Arabidopsis thaliana: one gene and its partners. The protein of the gene in region 4 interacts with the protein of the main gene of each other region in a pairwise test. Each region holds a gene or a part of one and is shown on either strand. Other genes may lie near its edges.

The links.
Region 1: the proteins of GIS (region 4) and AT3G19070 interact in a two-hybrid assay, tested with the Arabidopsis thaliana proteins (one large-scale study listed by BioGRID).
Region 2: the proteins of GIS (region 4) and AT1G68240 interact in a two-hybrid assay, tested with the Arabidopsis thaliana proteins (one large-scale study listed by BioGRID).
Region 3: the proteins of GIS (region 4) and TGA9 interact in a two-hybrid assay, tested with the Arabidopsis thaliana proteins (one large-scale study listed by BioGRID).

What each region holds. Positions count from the first base shown.
Region 1 is NC_003074.8:6,590,979-6,596,094, reverse strand, and holds AT3G19070 (Homeodomain-like superfamily protein), read right to left. Parts: upstream 2,323-5,116; coding exon 2,154-2,322; intron 2,074-2,153; coding exon 1,330-2,073; intron 1,246-1,329; coding exon 1,118-1,245; downstream 1-1,117. Other genes in the region: AT3G19080 (SWIB complex BAF60b domain-containing protein), read right to left, coding at 1-13; AT3G19055 (uncharacterized protein), read right to left, coding at 3,153-3,204, 3,321-3,393, 3,475-3,599, 3,688-3,779.
Region 2 is NC_003070.9:25,573,747-25,578,819, forward strand, and holds AT1G68240 (basic helix-loop-helix (bHLH) DNA-binding superfamily protein), read right to left. Parts: upstream 2,384-5,073; 5' UTR 2,321-2,383; coding exon 2,090-2,320; intron 2,013-2,089; coding exon 1,944-2,012; intron 1,847-1,943; coding exon 1,781-1,846; intron 1,693-1,780; coding exon 1,540-1,692; coding exon of another isoform or gene 1,534-1,539; exon of another isoform or gene 1,472-1,533; coding exon 1,433-1,471; 3' UTR 1,118-1,432; downstream 1-1,117. Other genes in the region: AT1G68238 (uncharacterized protein), read left to right, coding at 735-932. UniProt on the Arabidopsis thaliana protein: Transcription factor involved in somatic embryogenesis. Acts as a positive regulator of somatic embryo formation. Acts as a positive regulator of ECP63 by targeting its promoter and inducing its expression.
Region 3 is NC_003070.9:2,621,854-2,630,951, forward strand, and holds TGA9 (bZIP transcription factor family protein), read right to left. Parts: upstream 6,742-9,098; 5' UTR 6,430-6,741; intron 6,076-6,429; exon of another isoform or gene 5,968-6,075; 5' UTR 5,878-5,967; intron 5,869-5,877; exon of another isoform or gene 5,655-5,868; 5' UTR 5,599-5,654; coding exon 5,492-5,598; intron 5,016-5,491; coding exon 4,921-5,015; intron 4,420-4,920; coding exon 4,337-4,419; exon of another isoform or gene 3,960-4,336; coding exon 3,750-3,959; intron 3,071-3,749; coding exon 3,032-3,070; intron 2,872-3,031; coding exon 2,812-2,871; intron 2,481-2,811; coding exon 2,403-2,480; intron 2,244-2,402; coding exon 2,195-2,243; intron 2,090-2,194; coding exon 1,818-2,089; intron 1,597-1,817; coding exon 1,375-1,596; intron 582-1,374; coding exon 439-581; intron 348-438; coding exon 260-347; 3' UTR 7-259; downstream 1-6. UniProt on the Arabidopsis thaliana protein: Together with TGA10, basic leucine-zipper transcription factor required for anther development, probably via the activation of SPL expression in anthers and via the regulation of genes with functions in early and middle tapetal development.
Region 4 is NC_003074.8:21,505,602-21,510,627, reverse strand, and holds GIS (C2H2 and C2HC zinc fingers superfamily protein), read left to right. Parts: upstream 1-2,888; 5' UTR 2,889-3,021; coding exon 3,022-3,783; 3' UTR 3,784-4,056; downstream 4,057-5,026. UniProt on the Arabidopsis thaliana protein: Probable transcription factor required for the initiation of inflorescence trichomes in response to gibberellin (GA). Mediates the induction of GL1 expression by GA in inflorescence organs and is antagonized in its action by the DELLA repressor GAI.

The DNA of each region.
Region 1 (5,116 bases), about 15 Mb from region 4:
AGTCGGAAACCATTTTTTCCGTTACTGAAGAAAACAAAAATACGAAGCGGCTGATGAAAGCCAAAAACGATTCTTTGAGGTTGAAAATGAGAGAGGGCATTTATGGAATTTACAAATCGTAACCTCGTCGTTTTGCTACTTCAACCTTTTTCCTTAATTATTACTACGCCTTAGATGTGTTCGATTACGACCATAGTTAGAAACTTATGTAATTATGATTACTTCAACCTTTTTCCTCGAATTAGGTGTGCACCAAAAAAATAAAAAATGCCTAGGTGTTCCATTACAAGTTACGACCATAGTTAGAATATATTTATGATAAAAATTAACACCTTTATTGCATTTTTGGTTATCATTTGCTTGGAATAAAAAAAAGAGTTGGATATTTCTCTTCTAGAAGTAATAGTTTCATTTTAGACCAAAAAAAAAAAAGAACTAGAAGTTTCATCACCCAAATATTTATTTAAAGATTGTAGTTTTGAGCAACTCATAATAATCTTTCTTCCCTGAGGTCATATCTGCCTAAGAAGATTAGACCACAATATGAACAAACATGAAAAACTTTTGATTCAACGAATCTAAATGTCAAGACATACCCTTATGGGGGGAGAGAGGCTGAGACTTATCTGTCAAAATTAAGAAAAGAAGGAGAAGCTAAACAAATTTTTCTACAGCCTGCACCAGCAATGGTGGTCTCTCTTAAGGTCCCTTACAATATAAAAAAAAAAAAAATAATTAAAATGGAAGGGACACAGGAGAGAAGGGCTCCAAAAACCCTTATATAAGGGACCTGAAGATTAAATGTACATGTGTAGGTTTTTTAGTTGTCAAACTATGTTAAAAAATTAAAATATTATTATTTTTTGGTTTTTTAGGGACTGTCATCATCCCACCCATTGGGGTTGCTCTAATAGATTGTGATAAATGATCACTCATGCGTACAGTAAGAATGTTATTATGGTTAACTTTTTTTTTTTTAATAACTCCAACATTAACATAAATTCTATTATGATATAGTAATTGTTTGTAATATGCAAGATTAACAACAAAAGAAAAAGAAACGTTCTATACTATCACTCTTTCTATTTAATCCTATCTCTCATCTTCAATATTTTCTTCACTCCAAGGCTAATTTGTCTGCAATAGCCTTTTGACGATCCCGCAAGACTTGTAAGTGGCTACGGATCTGGTCACCAGTGAGACCCTCTTCAGAAATTAGTTCGTTTATGGCTTTGGGTGTTGCACCTGAAAAAAAAAAAAAAAATTAGGAAAATAGTTAGGAGTTGAAAGAATAAACAAAATAAATAAAAAAATTATAAAGTTGCATACTGAATAATCCCCCAAGTCTGACAACTGCGTCATCAAACACTAGTTGAAGCCTATTTGTCCACACCAAGTCTGGGTTTCGGATTGGGTTTGGGATTGGGTTAGGGTTAGGATTAGGGTTAGGGTTTGGGAATAGAGCAGGTAGGCCTGGAGAGATCTGTGGTATTGGGTTTATGAAATTTGGTATTGTTGGTTCTTGGGCCTGCGGACGGAGAAACGGGTTAACAAACGGTGACGGAGAGGAGGATAAAGGTGACGGAAAGATGTTACTAAGCCGTGCTCGCTTAGATGATGATGATTCGGGTGGCTGAATAGAGGATGATGGTGACGACGGAAAGAATTCCCTCAAAGATGGTCGATCAGACGAATCGGGAGGTCGAACAGAGTATGGCATTGACGACGGAAAGAACGAAGATGTTGCGAGAGTTGAAGATGAAGATGGCTGATGAGAGTATGACACTGACGACGTAAAGAATTCCCTCAAAGATGCGGGTGGTTGAAGAGAGGAGGATGACATCGACGGTGGTTGAAGAGACGGTGACGATGATGTTGCGAGAGTTGAAGATGACGGTGGTTGATGAGAGTATGACACTGATGACCGAAAGAAGTCTATCAACGGTGCGGGTGGTTGAAGAGAGGATGATGACGATGGTGCGAGAGTTGACGATGACGGTGGTTGAAGAGAGGAGGATGACATCGATGGTGGTGGAAGAAAGTTCTGACGGAGATCCATAAGTAGAGCAATTTCTGCGTTTCCAAGACCCAACAAGATTTGAGAATGAGAGAGGAACAACTTTAAATTACAAGGTGAAGGAGAAGAAATTAACCTGCTTCTCTCGCGGTACTCCGATCTTGAATTATCTTCGCCGCATCTTCATCTTCATCTTCTTTCGTCTCTTCATCCAACTTTTTTAAATGCTCATCTATCTTCACGATTTTCTGAGAATGTGATTCAATAGAACTTAGCTCTTCAAGAAACTCATCAAGATTAGTCATGGCTTGCAACTTAAGAAATTTGATTCATCACGTTCTATATATATATAGGAGGAATAATTTGCAGATGGAATCACAAATTTACCCTCTCTAGAGAGAGCAAAAATACCCATACTGTTGAGAATTACTAAAAACCCACATGTTATGATGTTAACGCAGATATCAATATAAATGTTTGCTCTAGCAATCCAAGGAAGTGAGCTTTATGAAAATCGAATTCAGGCGTACAGAGAACTGATTACTTTCTTGGAAATACATGTTTCCAATAATTATACATCATGCTGCATGCGTGTGATTTTTCTTATTTTCTCCATTACTTTGCTAACTCTAAAATGGTCTCAAGTTACTTTGCTCTCAACTTTTAAAGCTATCAACTCCAGTATAAAATAAATTAATAAATATTATACAACTTAAGGTTATGTAACATACCAAGCAATTAGGACGTACATTAATTGGTATATTTCTCCTGATTTCATATTTGTAGCCTAACTAATAAAACTGCAATTATTTTATATTAAAAACAGCGTACACGGTACATCAATGCAGTTTCTAGCTTCGTGCATGGTGAAAGTTGTTTTTGCGGCCGATCTGATTTTCATAAAAAAAAAAAAAAGGATTTTCCACTATGAATCGGTTGCTACAAGCCTACAACTTTTCTTCTTAATATATGAAGCATTTATAATAATAAAAATAGGTACATGCAGATCAGATGATAAGATGTCCCATATATATAGATAATACCCTAGCTAGGTCGGGTTGATGTTGAAGAAAAAACAAAACCCAATTAACCGCGTTTATTGCATGTAGCATGAAGTTTATGTGATCATCAGTTCTCATAGATCCTCGTCAGCCTTCCTCTTCCTCATCTCCCCGAGTAGAGTTTGCCTTAAACTATTAAAGTAAAAGTAATCATTAAACGGTTGATAATGATCATAATTAATCATCTAAGTCGTCAATATCATTAAAAATTTCTCTAAAAAGTCGTCAATTGTTAAACTTACTTTTCTAAAACCTTACGCGCCTCCGCTCTTTTTATGGAGCGAATCCTAGCCCTCTCTTCGACAATCGCCTTGGCTACACGAATATGAAACACATAAAGATAAAAAAGGAGAATAAAATAGAAAGAATGATCAAATAGATACTCTGAATAAATACCTATCTTTAGATAGGCCACCTCCTCCTTAAGTTGTGCAACATATTCATCAATTCTGGATATTATTTCCGGAAATGATTCGATTTTTGAGATTTCTTGCTCGAACTCATTACAATCCTTCCAGCTCCTGGGGATTGAAAGCAAAGGGAAGCTTGGGAGAGAAGAAAGGATTTTAAATCAGAGTGGAAAAAACACATTAAAAACCTAGAAATTACCTCTTCTTAAAGTATCCTGGACGAGGATGACGAATTAAGAATAAATGTGAACGGGCCTGTCGGATTTCAAATGTGTAATGCGAGTGCACCATCTTGAGAACGAGATCTGTCGTCTCTCTATTATAGTCTTCTTCTCTTTTGCAACAAAGTTTACTTTTGTCGTTGAATTTAATGATAGGGATAAGATCAATAATATCAGTGTTATTTAAAAATACAAAGATTGTATTTATTGGAGTACTAGGATCTTTAGTAAAATCTAAACAAACTATAATTTAGATTTCAATACTGAAATTCTAAACAGAGTTTATATATTTTAAAGAAGCATTTAATGTATATATTTGTTTCCTTCGATAATTCTTAAAAACATTTAGAGAAAACGAAAATTGAACGCCATAACTATTAGTGATGATCATGATCACTGCTGAACTCTACTAGAGACGATACACTACAATGTAAAAACTGATGGATGATATTTATAAGTTAACACAACATTTTATTGGTTTTAGGATCAGAGAAGAATTTGAGAAAGCATGATCAATGATGTTCATTCCGATCGCCTCACTTTATTCTTCCATATACACAAAAAATTACACAATGTGTGTGTTTGATTTTTTCTTTGTTTTTCGTTGCTTTAATCATATATAGATTTTTCCGTCCAACTTTGTCTTTTTTGAGCTTTTGTGCTTTTTGTCTCTAATAATCTGAATTACTCTAAACGAATCTTTCTTTATTTTTTCATAACTGAAAAATTGCATATGATAAAATTAATGCAAATCACTATTTTTTTTCTTAAATAAAACTTGATCAAGTAAAAAAAACATAAATCCGGTTTAAACCCTTGTTTGATCCTCACATCTTGTTCAGGAGTTGAGTCTCCATTAATAATGACCTATATAAAATAGCAAAAGTAATCATTAATATATATATACCAATGTAGCTAGTATAAGAAACAGTCTATTGATGTAAAATCAGTTGTTAGACTTATTTTCTCATCGCTTCCATATTCCTAAGTACCTCGGTGGTAATCCTCTCATCCTCGTCGATATTCCTACGCTCCTCCATGGTTCTCATTTGTAACTCCGTTATCATCCTAGACACATTGGCAATGACTGCAAAATAAAATAAAAAAATAGACATGATTCTCATGCAATAGAAAGAATTGATCAAATAGAGATATCAAAAAATATATAAATTTTTACCTGCATCTCTTTTCATCTGCTTCACTTCGAGTTCCTGAATTCGTTCGTCAATTCTGGATATTTGTTCTGAAACTGATTCGAGTTTGAAGACTTCTTCGAGAAATTCAAAACAATTCTTCCTCCTTGGGATTGAATGTGAAGGGTGGCTTGGAGGAGAAGCAAGTGTTCTAGAATATTATTGGAAGGATAATTAATAATCAAAAACACAATAAAAGAAATTTTAAAAATGA
Region 2 (5,073 bases), on a different chromosome or scaffold from region 4:
TTTGGCTTCGTCAAGGTCACTAGGGATGTTGCTTCACATGCAATCAGCTCTTGATTTCTTACTAGAAAGACTCATCGAGACTCATCTATTTTCTTGTCTCTATTCATGTATTTTTTTTCCGTAAACCAAATTAAGTTAATATATACCTCTTGGTTTTTTGTTTGGATTTTTGTTTATCACTTTTGCTTACTGCTTCTCTATTTTACATCTTTGCATTATTCCGTAACTGTTTACCATTTATTTGTTAGATAGTTCAAATTGTTTTAAGTTGCTAATCAGAGTCTTCTAATCAATTTTTTGAATCTTCAGAAAAACAAATCTCCAAAATATTTTCGTATATCCATACATTCAAAGTCCAAATAGACATCTATGTAAATATAGTCATCTATGTAATTATGTCATTTGTAGTGCTACTTTCTTATATTGTTCTACTTTATGACCACTTTTAAAAACTCGCTCTTAGTTATGTTTTTTTGCTAACTAAGAAATTTTTAATTTATTTTTTAAGACAATCAAGTGGCCGCACACACAATTGGTTAACTACTAGCTTGTGATCCACTGACCCTAGAGTTAAACCAAAGGGCAGTATATATAAGAAAGAGTCGTCGCATCTTTTTTTTGGTGACTTCTGACTCGAAAACGCAAAACCACACATTTGAAAATATGCCAATTACAACTCTCTTTATCAACTAGTCTCAACAATTGTCACAAAGCGATGCACAAAAACTCTTTCAATGGTGAGAGGAGAACTCGCGGTAATAGCGGCGGGTAATGGTGAAGTCTCACTCTACATTTGGGCAGCTGTTGTGGCTTTCTCCGTCATAGCAGCCGTGATTTTCTCATGCAGTGACCGAGCTTCTAAACCTCACACTAACGACGATGTCAATGGATCCAGTTGCGCCGCTGGCTGCGGTGGTGGTTGTGGAGGTTAAACGGGAAGCATTTTTTGTTTACTTTAGTAACATTTAAAGATAAAACTATTTTGGCTTCTTGCTTTAATAAAAAAAGTTAAAGTGTGTAGATAATTTGTAGCCAATGAATGTATTCTGCTTCTTGAATTTAACATTTTAGTGATCTAGTTCGTTTTCTATGATTCAAGATAAAAATTATCAAACTAGGGTTGTAGTAATGTTTGGTACAAACGTACTATTACACGTAACATAACATCTTTGTTGTTTATTTAACTTACATTCAACAAAGAAAAAGGTTGAGCAAAACAGAACATAAATAACAGAGGAACAATGCTCAACCAAAACAGAACATAAAAAACAGGTGTTTTTACATATTGTGGCATCAAACTAAAAGTTATACATAAAACTACGTATGTATTTATGTATCTATGTACATATCTTAGTTTACAAAGACAGTCTATATAAACAGCAACGAGTCTAAAGCCGGAGGGTCTTAAAAAGCCACATAGCTAGAGCTTGTTTTAAGGTTGAGTTTGATTTGGCGGCACTGTTCCATATACCTGTGATAAAAGATTGATGGCAGAAATCAGAATCTGTGGAATCAGATTAAACTTTAATTTGATCAAACCTGAGGATATTGCGGGATATAGGTCATGTTTTGCTGAGGCATCATTGGAACTCCTGGCGTATAATAGCCCCAAGGAGACATACATGGTGCTTGAGCTGCTGCATAAAATGGTGGTGTGTAAACCGGAGTTGTTGTGTATGCCATTGACATAACCTGGACCACATCCACATAACACATAAGAACATATATACTCTAATGGATACAAGTAACTAAATTAAATTAGATATAGTTTAATGCTTACATCTACTTGATATTTCAAACTTTTAATGTATTCAATGATGTTTTCAAGCTTCGATGCAAGGTCCGGCTGTAGATAAACACACAAGAAACTCGATATTCGAAACTTGATATTGTATTAGACTCTAATATATAAAAAATATGGAGTAAATTAAGTAATAGTTAACCTTTGTGCAATGATTAGGCATCAACCCCTGCAAAATATCTACTTTATCTTTGATCTCCTTTCGTCTTTTCTACAAAGTTTAGAAAGCAAAAATATAAATTAGCTAGGGAATCACGTAAGAGAAGAAGGAGATTAAGTCATCTTCACCTTCTCCATCATCATACGATATTCCATGGAACGTTGCCGTTTAGCCATACGGTAACTTTCCTCGTCTGGCTCCTCGTCGTGTTTCTCATGATCATTGTTTTTGGTAACACCGAATATCTCTTGCAAAGGGTTTAATTCACTATGATTTTCTGAACAAAACGAATAAATAATATCAGAAAGCGAACATTGCTCTTCTTCGTGAGTCCCCTCGTTGCGGTTGTTTCTCTCCATTGATGATTGACTAAATTGAGGATTTTGAGTTTGTTAAAGAGTGAAAAGTGGAGGGTTAAGGATAAACTAGTTAGTTCAGCCATAAGCTATATATATATAGGGGAGATACAAGAAGCTTCTTTTGAAAGTTCCAACAATTGAGCGGGAAGCAAAGAAGATGATTTTGCTTCGTCCCATGGTTTTCTCTAACAATTTATTTACTCATTTTCCATTATATTATTATATTTATGTGTTCCACATTTACGCACATCCATTAGACAGAAGAAAACATATATTTTTGTTGTTTTCTTATATTTGCTTTCTTGCTCTTTCTTGAAATTCTAAGAACGGCAGGGGAATAGTGTCATTCTTGTTCATGAACGGCAGTTCTTAATCTTTAGTATTTTATTTTTCTTCTCAAGCTAGCTATGGATACAACAAATTGCATTAAAATTGGAAAAACATTATCTAGTTGGAAAAGAGAACTGTAAAACTCCTATTACAAGTTCGAACAAAAATGACATATTTCAATATTTAAGAATTATTTATTTTGATTGAGAACAAGATAAACTTTCTATTATATCAACAACATGCATGGACATGTCCATGCAAGGGCAAGAAAATGTTTCTAGTCAGAAATTTGTTTTGACCGGCTTGTAACACTGTGCAAGCTAGCTTCTGATGTGATATTTAGAACGTACGTTTGCATATATTTATCGAGTTACGTGTCTCTTCAATACTCATACATATTTTAAGGAGTCATGCACCAAAATCTTTCATATAAACATGTGCTGATCAGAGATCTTGAACTCTCTATCGAATAGCTTCGCCATCGACCCAAATACATAAGACCGTCGTCTGATTACTTCATTGAGACGGGACGTTTTTTATAGCTAGATGTACTATTTTAATTTGGGTTATTTGTGGATACATGCACACTCTCGTTACTTCTCCTTCTTAAATAAACCTCAACCATTTCATTTTTTTCTCTCAACCATTTCATTTTTTTCTCTCAACCATTTCTTCAATATCTCGTATATATTATTTGAACAATTGGAGACAGATAGAAAAAAAAAACGGACAAGCAAAACATATTTGGTTAACCTGCCATCATATGAGCGATTTGAAAGAAAAATAATATAAAATTTCGATTGCCAAGTTTAAAACTAACATTTAATTATGAATGTTTTGGGTGCAACAATGAATATATTTTTTACACTAACATCATTATAGTAACAAATATATTTAATGTTGTAAATAGATATTTGCAATATCATTCAATTTAGTTATAAAAAAAATCATTCAATTAAATTAATTTCTTAAGTTAGTTTTTGTTAAACAATTGAATCTATAACATCATTAACTATTTGTTTTGCTCAAAGATTGAAAATAAAAACAGAAAAAAAAAATGAATTTAAGATTCTCTACAGGCCCAAACCGCGGATCAAATATCTAATATTTAAATATTTATGAAAATATTTCATTTTTAAATCTTTCTTACAAATTATAAACGTTAACGAAAAAACAAAAAAACGTTAACGAGATATGTAAGTTAAAAAAAATCACTTATATATGTTTATCATTTTAGCTACAAAGTTTTTTTTCTTTAAAACAATATTAATATAGTTTTTTTGCCAAAATAATAATATTTATATTATTTATTTTATTTTAGATATAATATAATATATTTCAACACATTTTTTGTTTATGTTCGGAACAATCCTTAGTTTCACAATATAGCTAGATTCTTCTTGGTGATTAATGTGAATTAATATATGATGTTGCGCACTAGAACTAAACACGAAAACATTGCATTTAAACAACCAAAATACTATAAGTTGTTTACGATAAACAATGTAAAACGTTACAACGTTACAGTATACTATACAACAGTGCGAAAACGTACAACAAAGAGCAAGCCACATAGTACTCCTAGTTTCAAATACAACTTGGGAGACCAACTCCTTTACATTAAACAACAAACCATATTATTAAAGAACTTGAGAGAACCGGTCTTTAATACTAAAACATGAACTGGTCTTATATACTACAGCATCTTGTAGTTTACATCGGCTTTGTCGTCTGTGGTTGATTATTGTTGTTGACTCCCTGTAAATTTTTCATTGTCAAGAAAGAACAGATAAATAAAGAACAACTAACAATCACAAAAATATAAACACATGAAGAAGAAAACAAATCAAAACCTGATAAGTGGTAAAGGGTACAAATTGGTTGGCGTAGCCGCTAGTTTCTCCTGGTGCCGGTGCTGCCGGAAAGTGATTGTAATACATCATGTAGTTTGGAGGGACATAATTATAAGGATATACCCATGGTGCCGGAATATCCACCACCCCCATGCCCGGTGGCATCATTAGACCTATTGAGTTTCTCCAATAACTCTGCATTGTTAAATATTGAGTTTAGTCATGATAAATGGTTTTCTTTAATTACTGCTTTTGTCTAATCCAGCAAGTAAGAAATGACATTCACTTAACTATCATATAACATATGATAAACTGAATTAAACAAAACCAATGAAAAAGAAAAATTTGAAACTAAAAAAACATATATGAAATCCTAAATATACATGCATGTCGTGAGATAACAACAATGTGACGATTCAGATTACTTACTTCTACACAAAGCTTCATCTCCCGTATTTTATCGATGATATACTCAAGGCTCGAGTCTAAGTTTCTCTACGTACAGTTCATGCGGATAACAAATTAAAAACAAAGCAAAAGTTGTATTAGTAATATCAGACCCAAATTTAT
Region 3 (9,098 bases), on a different chromosome or scaffold from region 4:
AATAATTGAAATTAAATTTCAGTCATCCTCTCCAAAGCATTCGTGAAATTAAATTTCAGTCATCCTCTTGTACTGTCGAAGAGATTCAACATTCATTTTTTTCGTGGTACGTTAATTTCATAGTAGCATAAAACTATAATTAAAAGAAGAATGTCGAAGGAAGATCCTATCTTTTCTCTAGTACAACTTTAAAGGAAATAGGTGAAATTACGACAGACAATGAAACTTGGCCTTTTAGTTATACAAAGTTTCATTCCATTCAGAAATTGGAGAAGTGGTTCCGAGATGACTGAACAATCTGCAAATCCGTCGTCGTTTGACAAGAGGTTTCATCACTCATCAGTGTCCTATTCACATTGATAATTCCCGATATCAAATTCATATTTTAGCATTATTATACGTCTATGAAATGTATATATGCATAAAAATGTGTCTTACTCTCGTGGGCGTGACAACCAAAGGGAGCTAAGAGCTCTGAGCCGTCCATAGTACTCTCCGATGACTAGGAAACACCGTGCAGCTTGTCGGACGGTCAAGATCCGCCTCAGCTGGTGAACGGTCTGCTGCCTCAAGTTATCAGCCTTCATTTAGATTAATAATAGAAAGAAAAAGATTACAGTTAGTAATCACATCTTTTGACATTTTAAGATTATTTCAATATTTCTTTTGGTAATATTATTAAAAACTAATAATTATAATTGCATACCTACTTACTACCTTGGTGGGCTAATGGGTATTACAAAAGTCAATACATATCAATAACAATCAATTTGATCATAATGTTTGAAAACAAGAAATTTTTTTAAAATATTTTTGTTGAGTTCAAAACAAAACATTGAAAGAGATGGAGAATACTTTTAACATATTCTCTTTGTCTTTTTTTCAGCTATATTATATATAAAAGGTAAAAACAAGTTGGTGAAAGAAATTTGGCTCTTGGAATAATTAAATCAAAGACCAAAACAACATATAATTATTATAGAACATCAAATGTTGCTTTCACGTATTGTCTGTTTCTGGATTATTTGTTTTTTTTTCAATTAGATAATTTAGCCAGCACATACGTTTGTTCATATATGTACGCAAAATATATGCACGTATTTCCGCATTTTTAAACATTTGTACATCTAGTATATATATAAAACGTTAAAATTTACCCAATATATTTCTAAAAAATATATTCGAATTCCTCTCTAACTATAAACCAAAATACGTTGCAAATTTTGTTTAGTCAAAAACTATCTACAGTTATATAGTAGGTCAAATTTTGTGTATATTTCACACGGTGTTTTTTTCTCTCGTTTGCATTCGTTTGTAATTATTGTTCGAGCAAATGAAGTAAAAAAAAAAAAAAGATAGGTGAGAAAATGGAACCTGGCGGATAAAGCCTTCGAGATTAGAGATCTTTCCGAGAGCGACAGCCATTTGTTGCATTCCGTCAATGACTGGAGATGCGGCGAGAGTATCGATGAGAGATTGCTGAAGTTGTTCGAGGCCTTGCGAGAGAGCCTCCTCTGCTTGTTGCGACGAGTGTTGTAGGCTATATATTCCCATCAGTTGTTGCTCCGTCAATAGATCCATTTGCGACACCAATATCTAAGATCACATCCCTTTCTTTAGTTAATCATGATTCCACAACTTTTTTATCACACGCAAATAATTAAACCGAAGAATACTCATTTCTGTTTACATTTTGCAGCAATGTTTCAGATTTGTTGATGTAATTTACTAACGTGAATATCATTTTGTTTTTCAAACGCAAAACCTAAAACTTACGTTTGTAATCATGGGGTAAAGTAAGGAAGAACAAGTCGAACCTTGATTAGGTCGGATGGACGGAAACCAGCCATCCAAATAAAACAACGTTCGGCTGGGGACATCCATGTCCCAATGATGAGGTGAAAAACATCGGCTTTCGCTGCCACGGCTTTTAATCGGAATATCTCATCAAAATGAGCAATGTAACCGTCAACGATCAACCTTAAATCATTGTCAGATAAATGAGCCTGAAGACCGGTTCGAATCTCCGACATATGCCGGTTATCATCCTCTAGCCATCTCCCATATTCCATGTCAAATATTGCAGCTCCTACGTACATTCGATTTTCAACATTTTGTTAATAATAGTTTAACCATTATTGTACTTATTTTAATACAATAATACATTGCAATTGGTGTTTTAGGTTTCAAGTACCGGAAGTGATGTTAGGTCCTGGTGGTCCACAACCACCCATGAACAGCCCCTACCATCGACATAAACAATATATTAATTTCAACAAACAGACATTATTAATAACCAATGAACAATTGAGAAACTTAGCAAATGACAGGTTTTGACAAATTTAAAAAAAGATTTAGCAGAATATATAGGATTATAGGAATATAAATGATTCAATTTCAACCTGAGAACGAGCTCGCTGAAGTTCTTGCTCCAATTGGGAAAGCTTTATCCTACTTGATTCTAGCTGTTGCACATACGCCTGCTCAAACCATATGTATATGCATTTGTTATTTTCATACTAGTATCATTACATATAGAATAACAAGAAATGCGGAACTTATACGTTCATAAATGAATTATAGAAGACTGGTAAATGGTAGATAAAGAAATAAATGCTCATGTAACAGCGGTTTCCAAGAAGAATAAAAGACACCACTGCGTATGTTTTACTAGTAGCAATAGCATTATTGTAATTCTATGCAACAAATTATCATTTGGAAAAAGTAGCAAAGAATATATAAATAGGTCAAAAAAACAAAAACAAATGATAATAATTTGAGGTGAAAAGTCAGGCAATTATATGGTCATACCTTTTTCCTAAGACGGCTTTTGCGAGCAGCTTCTCTATTTTGGGCCAAACGTCTCAACGTCTGCATAATCCAGATTTAAGAACATTTAAACAAGAAGTTAACGAATTAATTCAGGTAAAAAAGGTTACTAAAAAGTAAGTACATATATAGGAATGGATATGTCTCCTCGGGGGAGTCAAATAAAATGTATAGGAAATGATGATGATGAAAGTTAAAGTACCTTAGCATCAAGCTGTTTGCCTGAAGTTGTAGCCTTCCTCTGCAATGTCAGAGAACAGAGATGAAAATAGAAATTCATTCAGTGGAAAGAAAGTAAACATAAATTAAATTGTGTGAGTGAAGTCGACTCATGTGATAAATATTTAAATACCATTTACACACAATTAAAAAAACAGCATTATTAAATACTTTTTTTTAATGTAATATTAAATCTAAGCAATATGAACTCATTTAGGGAATATATGTGTTGTTAAAGTAAACATAGAAATGAGGATATGTAATCATGTAGTAAAAAGTAAATTATAAAAACAATAATAACACCTAGGAAGATTCTTCTGCTTTATTCCGCTTTTTGGGGATTTCATTTAATAATTTGTATTTTAAATTTGTCTGTTTTCATTATTTTATCAACGATTCGAGAGGTCAAAATTCTGAATTTTCTCTGATCCGTTTCCTTTTTGGGATCTGTGTATGTTTTTGTTTTATTGGAAAGATTTGTTAGGACATAGACATATATGAAAAAGCATGTGCATGCATATCTATCAAATGACAAGGAGAGAGAGAGATAGGCTAATGATATACATACCATGTACATGCACCAAATTAAGCATGCATGTTTCATGATGACTCCAAGTACGTACCATGCATATATCTCTTTCTAAAATTAAATTTTAAAAAGTGATGATGATGATGATGATGATGATGATGATGATGAGTACCTTATCTTCCGAAGGTTTAGGAGGAGCTAAAGTTCGAGAAGTGGAAGGAAGTCCAGATGTTGAACTTGAGTTTGCCATGTTATTATGATGAGGTTGAAGCATGAGATGATGTTTGCTACTCATAGGAGACTCCGGTTGTTGACTTTCAGCTTTGCCGGAGAAATTAGCCGATCCTGAATCGCTGCTCTCTCCTCCTGACTTGGAACTCTCCTGCAATACATATTCAACATAATCATACTCATCATCATTAACGTATAAGATAATTAATAAAAAGTCAGAAAAGGGATAATCAATGTAACTAAGGAGGAATTGACCTTAGCGTATATAATTTGACAAACGGGGTACTATAAGTTTATGTAATATAAAATAAAGTCAAGAGAAAGGAATGGAGTAATTAACTACTCTAAAATCGCTATCAGCTTTTGAGTTGAAAGAAGCAAAAATAAGAGATAGTAAGAGGAACAAGAAAGCTGAAACATGTATATAAAAGTGAGGGTAAAATGAAAATATAAGTTTTAAGTTTAAATAGGAATGCCGAAAAAGGAGAAAAAAACAAGAGGAAAGGGTCAAAGAAGAAGAAAGGGTACAGTAGGAAGAGTTTGGTGAGTTCTGATTGGCCACGAAGGGAACATCTCCAGAGTCGTAGCTCCTCCTCCTCCTCCTAATAAAGCTGCAATTTTACCCATCATTACATTTATCAGATATGTAATGTTCATATGTAATCATGTAGTATGCTAGCTACTTATTAAATGTGTGCATGCATGTATATGTGTTTTTGATGTAATTTAAGTAGTACTACAATATATTCTACTTAGAACTAACTACATCATTTATCACGTGGAATCTATATATAACATGACACATTTTACTAATAGTATAATTATGAATATTTTGATATAGAGGAAGTTAGGGAGTTGGTAAAAGATATTTTCTTCTTTTCTTATTTTCTAAATAAAGAGAAGAGAAATAGAAAAACAAGTCACGCCATCCAAGGCTCTCTTTTGCCTCCGTATCATCACCTAAACCTATCTAAAGACTTGTTCAGACTACTCTCAGCTTTTTATTTTGTTTTTTCCAGTTTCAGTTTTTTGCTCAGAATTTTAAAAACTTTATTGGAGTTTGTTAAGGAAAGCTCACGTCATGAAGATTTGAGAGAGAGAGGGGGGCTTACGTGGCTTGGCTTCCTCGTTCCTATACTTGACACCTTGCAGAACAATTGCTTCTTCTAGCTCTCCAAAATCGAAACTGGACGATCCATCTTGGTTACTGTTTCATTTATTAATAGTATTGTTTAATTAGTACAAAGAGAATATTCATCATGTGTTACTACAACTATACAATCAGAAACCAAGAAAAATTGGAGACCAAAAGGAACAACAATTAAATTAAAATATAAATACTTGATTAGAGGGTCGCATTTTGAGTTAGAAGATTAATAAAGACGGTCGCATATAATGAAAGTTTACACAAAAGCTAAAGCACATATAAAACCTATTTCGGATGATCCATAACACATTTTTTAGTTTCTGTTTTACCTATAGATTTCCGTTGACCATTTCATATCTCATAAATGAAACCGTATAACATATCATAATACTACTAAGAAAATGACAAATTGAGAATAAACAAAGAAAACCCATATAAAATTCAATTAGAGCTCAATATTAAGATATGTAATATGAATAAAGTTGAGCTTTATGTATATGTAAAGAAGAAAAGACGAAGGAAGATTTGTTAATTACATGAAACCAGAAGATGGATGATTGTTGTTGAGACCATGAATAAGTGAATAAGGAAGATGATGATTGTGGTTATGGTTTGTAGCTTCGCTCATTCTATGGTTCGCCATCTCTACTCAAGAAAACAGCTTCAATTGATGATATCTCTTCTTGATTAGTCTCTTTTCTGCAAAACACATTAAATCTTGAAATGATGAAAAAGATGATAATCACTATTGAGAGAAGCTCGAGTTAAGAAACACAAGAGAGAACTAGCTAGGGAGAGGGAGAGGGAGAGAGATTGCAAAGTCTTATAATTAATTCTTGATTAGTTGATCAAATGATTGGAATTTGAAAAGAAAAAGCTAGTTGATGATATGAACATGAAAGTAAGATATCTATGTGTTTACCTTTTGTGATGTTTTGCTTTTGGTGTTTGAGAACAAAGAGGAGAGAGAGAAAGTAGAATGGAAGCTTTCTCGTCAAAGGCTTTTTTATGGCTGAACAGAAAAACAAAAGAGGGTCCAATCTTTTCTCTTTCCGAGATACATATACAAAATTATGTGGGCGTGTATATATTTGTAGTTGGATAGAGAAATGATAATAAAGTATTAGTAATTGACTAATGTATAGTATCATTACTCTTTCTCTCTTTATTACTATTCTCTCTATACTTGTATGTGAAGAAACCTTTGTGATTCATCATCACTCTCTCCTTTTCACCACCTTTCTCTATCTATTTCCATAGTAAACACAAATTCCACTTGCTAAATTTCAAAATTTTATTGAAGAAAACAATAAAGAAATATTGATAATTTTTCATGGTAAATCAGACGAAGATCTTGTCCTTCCTAGACTTTGTCTCCAGGCTATATTTATGTGTTGCATTTTTTTTTGTTTTCCAAATAATAATATTGGGTTCAAAAAAGTTGTACAGAAAATTGAAAATTTAGTTGACTAACTTTATAGCTGTCAAGGGTGAAGCTAGTACTTGGCAATTGATCAGATGGAGTGGACGATCTCTATTCATACACAAACCTGAAATGTAGAAGTTAAACAGAAAATCAAAAGTCTAAGAGTGCTTAATTAAAAGAGCTTTATCCTTGTTAAGAAAAAGAATGGAGCTTTATCTTTGGTAAAGAATAAAAGAGCCTTATCCAATATGTAGAAGATAAATAAGATGATTGGATATAAGATTAATTGGACCGATCACAAGAAAATGGAGGTAGATTATTAAGAAAACTATCGACTTCTCTAGGTAGAAAAAAATTGAGCGAGAAGAAAATTAAATGAGAGTTTGTAATTTAGTCCATAAAATAAAAATAGAAGAAAGAGAGCAGAAAAAGAGGAGGAACCCACTAGAATCACTGACTCCTACTCCACAATCTCTCTCTCTCTCTTTGTAACCGCCTGTTTGTGCTTATTGGCTCTTTTTCATCAAATCTCTTTTTGGGCTTATTCACGTACACATTTTTTCAATAATCTATCATCTTTTCTGTAGTATTATTCATCGTATTCACGTACATGCCTATATCAAAATACGTATCTGTATATGTGAAAGTAAAGTGGTGAAATTTGCATAAAAGAATTGGGTTTCACTCTATCATCTTAGCAGCATGGATCATGCATGAAGTTATTTTTTCTAAGTAGTCTGTGTGTTAATCTAAAACCAAAAGAAAACTAACAGGAAAATTCTAGAATTATATCAAGAATCTTTGAATGGGCATGATATATACAGCATATACTTTATATTTTTGCCAAAAAAAAAATGATATATATATCTTTAGTCTAGTAAACAAATATATACTATAACTAAATGATCGAATACAACTCCCCAGCTATAGTTTAAGCTAAATTATATATATTATTTGGATGATCTAATGAGTTTGTTATTGGAATAGTACTAGAGATAGTGATGAAATAATGTTAATACACATAATCATAAATTCATAATCAAAGACAATGCATTAATGTGGGATAAGGAATGTTTGTTGATTTGTGTATGTATATTAAAATAGCAGAATCGAGTGAGTTTCTATTTCTAAACTACAACTCTTTTTGTTAAATGACCTTTGAGACAGAGAGAGGGATAAGAATAGTATGAATATAATACGTCTACTTATATGTAACACACTATACATAATTACAGATTTTTTTTTAGTTTCATCTTCAGTCTATAACCTTTTGAAAGCCGAGAGTGATAATATGTGAAACAGTTTCTGAAAGTTTTTTCTTCTTCTCAAAAATTAACAGCTTTTAGGCTTTAAGTTTCAAATTTGGATATAATAGAACTAGAGCAACTTTCTCTAGTCGGTTAACCTAACATACTTAAGTATTGAATAATTAACTATTTTGCCTCTACCAGTTCAACCAAAAAAGCCTTAGAATAATGACAATTATGTAGACCAATAAGATAAAATTAAACGGCCTTCTTGCATTAATCGTAAATAAATATAGAAAATAGCATTAAAATTATCAATAATTATTGTAAACATCTCAATCGAGTGTTATTTAAATTGATTAGTTTGGTATTATCCTATAATTTTGTTGATCGGTCAACATCCACTCCCTGTCATCACCTAAATCCTAATGCCACATTTCAGATTCCTTTCCTTTATTAGAAATTGTTATATGCCTCCTTTGATTCGTATAGCTGTTTTAGTCAATGCAGCTCTCTTGCAAATCCACATTTGTCATGGCTTTATTCCTTTAGTTTGTGTCATAATGACCCCCTCCGAATTGAGAATTTATTTTTCACGGCTCTTTAGATGCTTTTTTTGGGTTCGGTAGAAGTATATAACTCACGGTTAAGCTTTTATAGAATCTCAATATTAATTTGTCCATCAAGGCATCAAAATAATGTTTAGATTACCATCTCAGCCCAATACCGGCCATAATCTTATATGGAGGATGCATATTATTATGTAGACATCAATGATCAATCACTTTGGGACAACTACTCAAGCTCGTTTTCTAACGAATTGGGATTTTTGAATTACTTACTCAAAATAGTGTAGTCGGTTTTGGTCTAGCATGATCTAAAAAGTCCAACAAGCCGAGAGGCCCAAAACCCTAATATTCAAAACTTCGTGGCCTAAATGTTTCATCCTGTGTAATTTTCTTCAACAACCATTATCTTGGGTGAAAATTGTCAAATTTGCATATTTTCCATTATTGTCATTGACTTTCTGATTCGGTAACAGTCATATGATGTAAAAATGGGCCACATCCTTATTTGGTTTGCTTCAGGCCCATATTCGTTTGGGCTGTTAGATTGTAGCAATGGTACAAAGATCTGCAATTGATGTAATTTAACCTTGGTTAATGGTGTAATTTTATTTTATTTTGTTGGGGTCAAACTGAAAGCCTCAAAGGATAAGAGTTTTTTTCTGTTTTTTTTTTTTCACACTTTTTTTTGTTTTGTTAGAATTCATAAAAGGGTAATATAAACTTGTTAAAAAGAAATACAGTAGATACGTCATATATACAGAAAAAGTAAGAGAGACAGATGTTATCAAATAGGGGGGAGTAAAACCCACTCTAATACTACTTGTTATGCTTAAATATAAAAATGAATAAAAGACTTGGAAATCAAATAAGGAAGTGAGTGATTCCCACGTCGCACCTTCCT
Region 4 (5,026 bases):
TTTTCAGTTTAATTTTATAAGAAATTAAATAGATGAGTAATGTATGGAAAGGTATAGATAGATAGATGGATGAAAGAAGAGCAGTGGTCCTAGTGGACGAGTTGCATCTAAGAAAAGGAGGATATGAAGCAGAGAAAGTGAGAGGTAAATGGTCCCTTCAACAAAAGCCAATTTAATCTGTGAAGCACATATATGACTATGACTTTAATGGCAAAGCAAAGGTGTTTGTAACCAAGTGTTTGCTGTTAGGGTTTCTGAGACTTTGTGGGCTTTTAAGGCCTTGTGGGGTTCAACTCCATTCACGGGGACCACCTTTGTGTGATTTGTTTGGTTTGTACATTTATATGTATTTTTTTCGTCGGTTTGTCTAAAATGTGTCATTCCTATAGTATTTGTAACTTATAAAAATGTTGGACTTTTTCTTCCATCTGAATTTTGATTCAGATCTTGGATGAAGTATAAAACCGACGGATATAGCAAACAATCTCCAAAGATAAATGATGGTCCGAGGCTTCGAAGCATGTGCAAAAGAAGTTCTAGTTTCAAGTTCAAAATTTTTCAATTATGTAATTAAATGATGTTAAGTTTATATTAATGGCTAGACAAACTAATTTAATGCCAAAAATTATTAAAAGTGGAAACTGAAAAACTAAACAAACTTTTAGATGTCCCCCAACAAACTATAAAACTATAATATATATATATATATATATATATGTAACATTGTCGTAGATATTGCTTTAGAAGAGGTTTCAGTTTGATTATAATGCCAAAGTACATAAATTGATTAGACCTTTAAAGCTCTAGACTAAAACCTTATTCAATCTCTTCACCAACACGTGTCATCTTAGTCTACCTCACATTAATCTAAAGGAACACTGTTATTTACGGTTTCTATTCAACAGCTAAAGCCCACCGAGATACTTTCTCTGCTCGCAGCTACATGGGTCACAAATCGGATCTATGCAATCAAATGGTGTTGTTGCACAAGTTGTTTGGTTCTCTTGAAATTTTATAAAGTATACATTTTGATGTGGTTTGCTGGATGTACTAGCAATCTTCTCTTGTATTCATGCTTATGCTCTCGATGTAGACTAAACTGGCGCATTTGTTTATACTTTATATATTTTATAATTTATGTAATAAAAGAATTTTTTTATGTGATGTTATTGTTTTTATAATTCTTGTCACATGAAGGCGATGAAAATTTTGCTTTCTCGTTTAGTTTGCTATTAAGATGACCTTATTATTGTTGTGTGCTTTGGGATATCTAAACCGATATTTAAATTTAAGTATTTTTAAAATCGAAGTTGCTTTATTTTCTTTTCGTCATAAGGGTTCGTATCATTTATAGAAGATTCTTTTTAGATTAAGGCTTGGAATCGATTCCCCTCAACTGTGTCACTTTTTTTTTTTTTTTTTTTTTTGCACACACTTTTATGGCAAAAAAGAAAACCGAATTTCTATGAGCCGGGGGAATGAGTCAAGAGTTCAGTAAACCAAGAAAAGAGAAATGAAAGAAGTAAAAGCTGGTCCCTAAAAGAGAATTCTCTTCGAACTATATAAATAGTAACATCCGGGTACATGTGTGATCAGTGAGTACACACCGACCCCCACGTACGTTCGTAATGAACCCAATTCCCTGATAACTTTCACCTAGTTTTAGATTTTTTTTAGTTACTTATCATAAATTTTACCATGACCCATTTTCTGCTCCATAAATGTTGTACGTGTCTGTTTCATTACTACAGTATTGTTTATTTTTTACAATTGTTTTTAAAAAATAAATTGAAACGGGTCTTTCATTTATTTAGATCAAAGGTTGTCCAAGAGTTTTAGAAGAGCGACGACATCACAAAAATTTGTTTCATGATCAAGATCCCGTGGGCAAATAGATCCTTAAAGAATCTAATCCATATGAATCAGAAAAGGTAAAGATTAACGGAACCGAGACAAGACATGATTAATTCTTTTAATAAAAACCAATTTGATCAAAAACTTAAATTATTAGTATCGAAAAGAAAACTGTACCAAACTAACTAATATGTTACATATTATATGTACTACCTAGATTAGGTTGAGAAAGCTATAGAATTTCTTTTAAAATCGAAAAACTGAAAATCTCAATGAAATTGGAATTGAAAAAAATCGTAAGTCCTATATATTAATTAAGTGCACTATTTGGAAAAGCACTTGTGGGAATTTAATAAGAAACAAAAGTAGATATCACAGGAACCAGGCGGAACAATGGTTTTGAAGGAAGTTTGTTGGGGAAATGAATATATACAAAAAAAAACTAATTTATTGCATTTTGTTCAAGGACCTATTTCATTGTGACCAAATTTAGCAAAAAAACAGTGGCATTTTCGTGAACTAGTAATTTTTCAGAGTTTGTCAAAAAAAAAAAAAGTATTTTTTCAGAAAGTATTGTGTACCAGATAAAATTACACAAAATAAACTACCATATTTACGAAAATGCCACCCATCCACTATGTAAATTAGAAAAACCAAAATATGAATATGGAGAAGTACATTTTCTCGGAGAAAACTATATACTTAATTAGTAATTTATCAAAATATGAATACGAAGCTTTTATGTTATGTATTCGTGTATATATATATAATCGAAGTCAATAATTTAACCTCCAACAACCTTGCGTCTGTCTAAGCATCTATCATAGATCATGCATTATAGATCCATAATCTTCATCCGATACAATCTAACACAATTAATTCCACACCGTTAGTGAATAATATTGCGACTTTTACATATAATATTATATTCAATCCGTTCATCATTCTTAAGTCTTAAGAGACCAAGGATAAGCTATCAACCTTTCTTTAGCTCTTTGATAATTAGAAGCTATCAATCAACCTTTCTGACATACAACAAATAGAAAATTTAATGAATTGCCATAAAAAATAAGAACCAATCAGTTTTATATAAATGTTTATCTATCTCTCTAAAGCCTCATAACTCTATATATCGCCCAGTCTTTTTATCTCTCTGACTCTCTCTCTATGGACGAGGCTACCGGAGAAACAGAAACTCAAGATTTCATGAACGTCGAATCCTTCTCTCAGCTTCCTTTCATTCGCCGTCCTAAAGATAAGAACCCTAAACCCATTCGTGTCTTCGGAAAAGATTTCACCGGCAGAGATTTCTCTATTACTACCGGTCAAGAAGACTACACCGATCCTTACCAGACCAAAAACAAAGAAGAAGAAGAGGAAGAAGACCAAACCGGAGACAACAGTACGGACAATAATAGCATCAGCCACAACAGGAGATTCGAGTGTCACTATTGCTTTAGAAATTTTCCTACTTCACAAGCCCTAGGTGGACACCAAAACGCTCACAAACGCGAACGTCAGCTTGCCAAACGCGGTGTTTCCTCTTACTTTTATCATCCTGACAATAACCCTTACAGTTACCGTCATTACCCGTCGTGGACCAATGGTCCGTTAACCGCGGCTAGGTCCTATGGAGGATTTTCTTCTGGTCCTAAGCCGTCGGGGTATTATACACGACCCAGCTATGGGAGTCAGTTAGGACTATGGCGTCTACCGCCTCGCGTTCAAGGCGTTTATAACTCAAACGCAGCGTTTACTAGTAATGGCTCTTCTTCTTCTTCTAATTCGACTTTACCGTTGTTGACCCGTTCTCAAACTCAACTATCATCGCAAGTGGGTGGCTCCGCTGCTCAGAACAGAATGTCATCGTACGGTTACGGATTGAGCCCTAACGTGCAAGATCATGTGAGTCTCGATCTTCATCTTTAAAGATTTGAAAACAAAATAAAACTCTTATTGAGTGTTATGTAACTTAGTGCAAGAAAAAACAACCTAAGTTATTGAATATTACGTAATCTTTAACGATTAGACTTCTTATTATCTATACCTATTCCCTTATTGAATGTTTTGTAAGGTAAGAAACGGCACGATGTGTAAGATTCACGGCATCGATCTTTCTTTTTTTACCCATACGTGCTTGAATGAAGGAAGGGAATTTATGAATTTACGTGTCCACATTTAATATAGCTTCGAACACTATCGTTTTGGTTCAGGGAAATTGTCAGTAATAGACTCATAGCAGTGCTTACTAGTTACTAGGGTATTTAACTATAACCGCACAGTGACTCAGATAGAATTTCAACGATAAAATGATAGAATCTTTACTGTACGGAACTAACAAGTAACAAATACAAAAACAAAAATTAAACCTCTCGAGTACAAATCTTTTTACGAGGGTTTGAAACGAATCTAATGGACACTGTACTCATCGCCATCTCCTTGAAACAAATAAAACTCAAGATGGGTAATAAGTAGCTAGGTAATAATTTTAGATGATGCCAATGATGATAATTTGGTGCGTGTGGGTAAGTGAAGACAATGGACAAGACAAAAGGGTATAGAGAGAAACAAAGTGAGTGAAGTGGTCCATAAACACACAGATGTAGAGTTTACGATAGAGATTTCTCATCTGTACTTAATGTAATTACTATTCTCGTAACTTGCAATTTCGAGTAAGAACATAAAGAAGGAGCTAAAGCAAAGCAAAATTCCTCAAGCTTTCTACTTTTGTGTTTATTTCTTAACTTTTCTTTTAGGTAATCCAAAGAATACCAACAAGACAACAGCCTCTATAGTCTATATATATCTCAATCAATGAACTTGAAAAAAGTTGTGATTCACATACCGTAAACTCCAATTAACAGATGCCACGAGATTGATTATGACGGGTTGGTCCTGTTGCATTCAAAAGGACAAATACAAAACTACTAATGATATCAGAGAATGTCAATGACCCGAAATGGTTTTCAAGACAAAACATGGGAAAATCCTTGTACCTAATTAACCATGTAGTTTATTTTATTTTATTTTTATGTTAAACTATCAAATCAAAACATAAATATAGATGACAACGTAGCTAGGACTTTGATCCAGAAGAACATACGAGTTTCCACATTTGACAAGACTTTAATCAAAGAATATCACAAGCATTAATTCACAACCTCCACCAATA